Drosophila melanogaster: one gene and its partner. The protein of the gene in region 2 purifies or fractionates together with the protein of the main gene of each other region. This does not show direct contact. Each region holds a gene or a part of one and is shown on either strand. Other genes may lie near its edges.

Region 1 (4,269 bases), on a different chromosome or scaffold from region 2:
GGCGATCCGTGGTCCCTTGCCATTGGGATTACCGTACACTTGTCGCTCCTTAACGCTGCACTCCTTGGCCAAATTCCTGACGTTCGGATCTACGAAACTGGACTTGGGCAGCCCTTCGACCGGCGGTTTCTCGTAGACAATCTTGCCTAGCATGCTTCCCTGCTCCCTCAGTTTTTTGGTCAGGGCTCGAGTATCAATGTCTTGAATTCCGGGCACCTTGTGCTGCTTCAGCCAATCGGGCAGCGTCTTCCATTTGCGCCAGTGAAATGCCTCTTCAGCCACCTCGCCCACCACCAAGGCGGTGGCCTGGACGACGCCTTTCATCCACTCGAAGTGCAGCGGCAGTCCGTGCTCGTCCTCATCCGGCGCTGGTACCCCATAGTTACCGATCAGTGGATAGGTAAGCACCAGGATCTGACCACTGTACGATCGATCCGTGAGCGCCTCCGTGTAGCCAACCATGCCCGTTTGGAAGACCACCTCGCCACCAAAACCCACTTTGGATTCATTCTCCGAGGGAACGTAGCCAAAGGAGTACCCGGGCAACACTGTGCCATCCTCCAGTGCGAGGTAACAGTCCGTAGAGGCCATATTGGACGAGTTGCTGGGGAGGATTGGAAACCATAGGGTATTCTTTAGTACCTGTCACTCGAAAACCGTCTTAAATAAACGAGCAAAGTTAATTAATTAAAAGATCATATCTCTACGAAGGCAAGTAGACACAATATTGAGTCGAAAATCTGATAACAATATTCGGCGACTCTGGGAACTTTACTTAATGAGTATATGCTATGACTATGCTATATGTTTACGCAGAGCGCGTGCATACCCTCGATTTTAAATGTAATGTAATATAATTCCACAGGTTATCTTGTTCAAAAAACACATGTGTTTATAAACACACCGTCACACGCACACAGTTTGCCGGCCCAAGAAAATATACAAAGAATCCAATAGGAAGCCGCGATAGATGAATGTATGCATGTATTTAACTGTCTGGCAACATGTTGAGCGGGGCACAACACGGTTCTGATTGGGAATGGACACTGCTTATCAAGCGTTTCAAGTTCCTGTTGTCATTTGATATTGCCATTCACGGTTTGTTTACACGATGACTAGCGGCGGAGAAGAAAGAGGAAGAGCGAGTGTGAGAGGGTGCGTTTTGTGTGTGCGTAAGCACGTGTGAGAAGTTTGGATCCAATTGGAAACCGGTTCGGTCAGCAAATGAGAATAACAATAACATTGACTTTAACTTTGAATTGGACTTTGGGCAGGAATTGAGGATTAACCAACTGAGAATCCTTAAGCTACGATGCATTAGTATCGCCATCAAGTTATCCTTTTCCCATCTGCACCCGTTACAACTACAGCTCACTTACGATTCCGTGTACTTTCAAGCGAAGCTCTCTCTTTGCTGCACTTGTAGTTGTGAACACGTTTTGGTTTCGACTTTAATTCGATTGACAACTTGATTTGTTTACTTTGCGACACCGCTTTTAGAGCTGGTTAACTTCGCACTGCTCGGATATGTTTAGTTTGAGCATTTAACTGTGTTTGCTTGCAAATTGGCTCCAATTAACGTCTGGAAAATCAAAGTCGAACAACTGAATTCACCGCCTTGGTTGAATCGGAATCTTCGTGCATTATGTGCTAAAAAATGCCACAGCAAGAGCTTAGCTCGGCGGTGTGGAACTTTACTAGAAGTAATATTGCAGGTTGGGAACTTGGCAAGAACGTTATATATTCATTTATTGTTATGAATAAGATAAGATATTTGTAATAATATTAGCAAACATGTTTAAATGGGGTGTTCTGCAAAGTATTCCAAAGGAAATAAATAATCCACAATTAAATGGTTAGTCACAAATTTGAAATCACAACAGTGTAGTCACACACACACCTATCGATACATTTTTCTTACGTTACGATATACTGCCCGTCCCGTCGTGAGTGAGGACATAAACCAAAGCGGCGTTGCTTTTTCATTCGATTCCTTAAAGTAAAGTAAACATCAAAACATCAAGCATAAGCAAGTCAGCATTTAACAAGCGAACGTCCTGCGAGAGCAACAGACTGAAAGCGCACTGATTGATAAGATTAACGCCATTGCAACCGTTCATAATGCATTCGGCTGGACTACTGATGCTAACCGTGGCTGGATATTTCACATCGGGTATTCCTGGCAATACGGCTTCCTCGGACGTCGCCTACCTGACGCCGGGCACATACATCAATTTGTCGGAGAACATCTTGGGACTGCAGACTCTGCGCACGTTCTGCTATCCGGGTAAACGGCTGACGGTGTCAAGTCTCTTCGAGACTGTGGAGTTCGTCCTGGCCATCGGGAGCGATGATTATTCCCAGTACGGTGGGAAGACGCCGGAGGAGGTGTTGCAGCACTACAAGGACAAGCAATCGCTGTTCAGCATCACCCTGTTCGCGCAGAAGCGCCAGCTGCTGCAGCTCTCGCCCTTCGAGCAGCAGTGCATCGGGATTTCCTCCCGCCAGGCGTACACCGTCATTCTGAATAGCATTCCGCTGGATCTGTGGCGTCTCGCACAGTTCGCCGTCGGCATACTGATCCTCTTCAGCGCCCGGCGGCTAGCAAAGAACAGTGTGTTCTACTATCTGGTCGGCATTGTCATCGGCATATGCGCCTCCCTGCTGGTGGTCATCTATTTGGCCGCCAAACTCTTTCCGCGACGTACCATGATGTATGGCGTCCTAATTGGCGGCTGGACCATTGGCTTCTATGTGATCAAACAGCTGGCGGACAATCTGCGTTTGATTCTGATCACCTACCGCGACCATGTGCTGGGCTATCTGGTGATCACCGGACTGATCTCGTTCCTGGTGCGTAGTCACTTGATATTCCCTTTTGATTAGATAACCCCAGCTAATTGCCTCGATTATTCTACAGATCTGCTATCGCATTGGTCCGCCCAAGAATCCTCGATCGCAAACCATCGTCATGTGGGTGCTGCAGGCCATTGGCGCCGTTATGGCTTACTTCAGCAGCTGGCACACCAGCGCCGTGATCTTCATCATGGTGCTGGTCTTTGTGGCCCACTACTTCCCCATTTCGTGGACGAACCAGATCAAGTTCATGTATCGCCGCCGTTTTCCGCTAAAGAGGCGCATGCTCACCCAGGAGGAGTACGAACAGCAGACGGCCGTGGAGACCTCGAAATCGCTGGCGGACCTGCGCAAGTACGTCAACAGTCCGGAGTGCAAGCAGTGGGCGGTGATGGGCAAACTGCGTGATCCTTTGCGCTTCGCCTCGTTCGCCAATGGAGCACCGCATCTGGACGACGAAGAGATCGAGGACCACTCGCGCACCATCGAGGAGTCCATGGATGCGGCGCCCGAGGAGGAATCAGTGGAGGAACCTGAGGAGGATAAACCAGCGGAGTTACTGCCGCTGCCCAACTCGCAGTTCCGCTATCAACAGGCCGCCCGCAACTCGGAGCCGGAGCCGGAGTCGGAGTCCGATGACAGCGAGGAGGAGGAGTTCTTCGAGCAGGAGGTGGACCTTCGGCAAGTAGTACAATAACGGACGAACAGCTCAACCACAAGGGGAACCACTGATTAGGCTTAATTGAAACCATTGACCACCACGTTCTATGCTGTACCGTTCTGTAAAATTTGTTTGTTTGGTTACCCTTTCTAATATTTGTATAATCACTTGCAGACTGAACGGAAACACACATATTAATACAAATTATATATTTAATTATTCATGACTGGCTAGGAATAAAAACACTTATACACTAATGCATAAGTTTATTTGTTGCAAACATTCCAGGGTACAGCCATCCCGCTCATTTTGGCGGAGCACAGGCGATCGGTAGCCACTGGCAAGCCTCCGATGGCGGCGTGTGCATCTGGCCGGGCAGCATCTTCACCAGACGACGATCGTCGTCGAACTTTTCGGCAGCACAGAGCGTGAGTTCGCGCTGCCGGAAGATGAGTGCGTCGCCCGCGTAGGCGATGGTCCAGGTGCTGGTCGAGGAGCTGGGACTGCCGGAGCGCAGGGCGGCCAAGCGATTGCCCTGGCTGGGATCGACGAAGTAGTACCACTTGAAGAGCTCGCTACGCAGCGTGAAGAGCGGCGTGGAGTGCTGCTCCTGGACGAAGGCGCGTGTCAGGCCCGCGGTATCGGTGAAGTTCTTCTCGCGCCAGGAGAACATCTGCCGCCCATTCAGACCGTAGTTCCACTCGTCCGTTATGGTCGTGTAGATGTACTCGCGATCGGAGCGACTCAGCAGG
Region 2 (3,333 bases):
TTAGTCTATAATAACGTGGATGCGGACGGGTGGGCGATTTGCTCGGATTTGGATGAATGGGCGCGTGTTCCCCCGGCTTTCGCTTCGCTTTCAATGGTTAATGGTTTGCCGCCTGACGTGATTTACGATTTTATGATTGCCGTCCAAGAGTTCCCACAGATTAAGATGTTGATGTTGCTTCCGTGACCCTCGAATAGATCAAATTGTTTTGCTGGCGAAAGTTCTAGCTGGGTTCAAGGTGGTCATGTATCAGAAAGTAATAGTAATAGTATCATTTATATAATTGATGGTCAACGTGGATAAGCTGGATTAGGATTAATGTAGACTTACTATATAAACTTACTATTTTGGCCTTCATTCATTATTTTATTTTACCTTCTCGAAGGTGTACATTGCGGAAACGGCGGAACCCAATCTGCGGAGTCTGCTGATCGGCGCGCCCTATGTGGCCTACTCAAGCGGCATCCTAATGGTCTACTCCCTGGGCTCCATGATGTACTGGCGTAGTGTTGCGTGGTGCGCCAACGTGCTGCCCCTGCTGTCCATGGTGTCTATCTCGTTTATACCGGAGACTCCGGCCTGGCTACTCCGCAATGGCCACGAGAAGCGTGCGCTGCAGGCCCTCTCGTTCCTGCGGGGCAGCGAGATCAGTGCGCAGAAGGAGCTGAATGATATGAAGCAGAGGCTGGCCAAGGAGCGGGTGACCACCAAGACGAACGAGAACATCTTCCAGCTGTGCTGCCAGCGCGTGGCCATCAAGCCGCTGGTCATTGTGATCGTGTTCTCGCTGCTGCAGATGTTCTCCGGCACGTTCATCGTGATCTTCTATGCCGTGGACATGATCTCGGAGTTCGGAGCGGAGTTCGACTCCAAGCAGGCGGCCATTGCGACGGCAGTTGTCCGGGTGATCTGCTGCATGGTCTTCTGCGTAGTCCTGATCTTCGTTCGCCGCCGCAGGATCATGATAGTGTCGGGAATCGGCTCCGGCTTGTTCTGCCTGGTGCTCAGTGTCTATCAGTATGCCAGATTCGATCAACCGAAAATGTCGTACGACGTATTCGTTGGTGCCGGCTGTCTCTTGGGCTACATCATCTTCAACACGGCTCTGATGGTGATGCCCGGCATTATGATCGGCGAGCTCTTCCCGGCTAGGATACGCGGACGGACTGCCGGCGGAGTGTTTGCCTCCATGAACGTCGCTCTGTTCATCTTCGCGAAGAAGTTTCCCGCTTTGCAGGCCATGCTCAAGATGCGCGGCGTGTTCCTGGTCTTCGGCGTGTCCAGTTTCCTGCTCACTGCCTTTATGTGCCTTTTCCAGCCGGAGACGAAGGGCCGCAGCCTGGAGCACATCGAGGACTATTTCAACGGGGACAACTGGCTCTGGTTCCGGCGGGATCGAGGCTACAAGACGGTCAACCTGCAGCCCCTGGAGCCATTGAAGGACACCCGGGGGCTGGAGGCCTAGGTCGGGGGGCTTTAGTCTTAAAACAGGTCTTAGCTTAGCTAGTTTTAGCCATACTCATAGTTCTAGCCGCAGTGCCTCGTAGTCGCCCTAGACTCGCTCGATTTTCCAGTGACCCCCAATGGGCCACTCCGACAGGGAATCTTCAAATGTTAGGTTACCAATTCAAATTGTGATCGCTATGCTTTAAATTGTGTCTAATTGTTAATTAAAATTATGATTAGAAATAAACAACTTGAAAAATAAAAGTCATCATTTGTTTTTCGGGCAATTTGCAGAAAATGTTTGCAATAAACTTGTTTTTAAGTGTTTGAACATCTTGACTTTTTTAAACTTTAAATAAATATTAAGGGTACTCACGTAGATTAGTAGCGTTTTTGTATTTCAAATGGTGGTAGTAATATTTTTGTTTCTTTCTTTCTGGAGAGTTTTTTTCTGACCACCCGAGGACGGTCACTCTAATTCGAGAATCGCGGGAAACATGGACAGCGTGAGTTGAAAATATTTAGTTTTTTAGCAATTTAGCATAGCAACTATTTGTTTAAAGGATTTGAAAGCCAAGGTCGAGAGCTGCGCCCGTACGGCGGATACCTTCACACGCCTGTACTACGCCTCCGTGGACAACCGACGCCAAGTAAGTAGAGATCCGCCTTGAAAGTCTGCATTTCATGGGAAAACGAAACTCAAATAGATTCCACCTGCAGCAAATTGGACGCCTCTATTTGGACAATGCTACGCTTAGCTGGAATGGAAACGGGGCCATCGGCCGCCAGATGATCGAGAGCTACTTTCAGGAGCTGCCATCCTCAAACCACCAGTTGAACACCCTGGACGCGCAGCCTATTGTGGATCAGGCTGTGTCCAACCAGCTGGCCTACCTCATCATGGCCAGCGGCTCCGTCAAGTTCGCAGATCAGCAGTTACGCAAATTTCAGCAGACTTTCATCGTTACCGCCGAGAATGATAAATGGAAGGTCGTCTCCGATTGCTACCGAATGCAGGAGGTCTGAGATCCACACACTTGTATTTTAAGCTAAGCTAAAGTTCTTACGTCGTAACGAGTTTATTAACATATCTAAGCTCTTATAAATAGATTGACTTCCTATTTGTCCGCCTCTGTCTTGGGCTTCTTGGTGGCCGGCTCGTCGGCGGGTAGTTTTTCGGAGAAGATGGCCTTTGGCTGCGTCTGCTTGTAGGCCGGTGCTATCCAGTAAGGATTCTCGGCTGCGTCCTTGGCATACTTCAAGATGGCTTCCCTGGGATCCTGGTCGTCGTCCACCCGCTTGCTCAGGCCCAGATTGCGGATGACATAGGAGGAGAGGGTGCCGCCGGAGCTGGCCACGCGGCCGCCCTGACCGCTGGTGATGGGCAAGTCCGGTCGCTGGGACTTGACAGGATCCATACGGGCCTTCTCCATCCGCTTACGCGAGGTACGGGACTTTTCCTGCCTGAACAATGGCAGGGCGTGCGGCGTAATGATCTGGGAGACTCCCACCATCTCCATGGGCTGCCTCTTGCGATGCGTCTTCACTACGCACAGCTTGGCGCCCCGGATGCTGCGGTGCTCATCGTAATAGCACTTAATGGTTCCATTGCCACAGCTCACGAACAGTTGGTTGAGCTTTGGGTGCCACAGCGTTTTCACCACGTGCGCGTTGGACACGGGAATCCGCTGCACTTCCTCGTAGCTCTTAGTGCTGTAGAAATACAGGTTCGCTTCGGCCTGGCCCTTCGGAAGCGATTCTCCGGTGACTAGCAGACGGTCATCTGGACTAAAGCAGCAATCTGTTGTGTCGTAGCGGGAGAACAGGTTTGTCCAGGTATGCAGCGGCTGTTTGAACTGCCGCAGATCCCAAAGCTTCATGGTCTCG

The links.
Region 1: the proteins of Nxt1 (region 2) and Nemp purify together in Drosophila melanogaster (affinity purification with mass spectrometry, with the first as the bait; one large-scale study listed by BioGRID). This does not show direct contact.

The regions. Positions count from the first base shown.
Region 1 is NC_004354.4:16,652,720-16,656,988, reverse strand, and holds Nemp (nuclear envelope integral membrane protein), read left to right. Parts: upstream 1-1,973; 5' UTR 1,974-2,121; coding exon 2,122-2,853; intron 2,854-2,920; coding exon 2,921-3,553; 3' UTR 3,554-3,769; downstream 3,770-4,269. Other genes in the region: r (rudimentary), read right to left, coding at 1-591; CG32573 (uncharacterized protein), read right to left, coding at 3,822-4,269. UniProt on the Drosophila melanogaster protein: Contributes to nuclear envelope stiffness in germ cells. Required for male and female fertility.
Region 2 is NT_033778.4:23,810,558-23,813,890, reverse strand, and holds Nxt1 (NTF2-related export protein 1), read left to right. Parts: upstream 1-1,916; 5' UTR 1,917-1,943; coding exon 1,944-1,952; intron 1,953-2,009; coding exon 2,010-2,096; intron 2,097-2,153; coding exon of another isoform or gene 2,154-2,166; coding exon 2,167-2,472; 3' UTR 2,473-2,564; downstream 2,565-3,333. Other genes in the region: pippin, read left to right, coding at 386-1,465; CG5543 (uncharacterized protein), read right to left, coding at 2,565-3,333.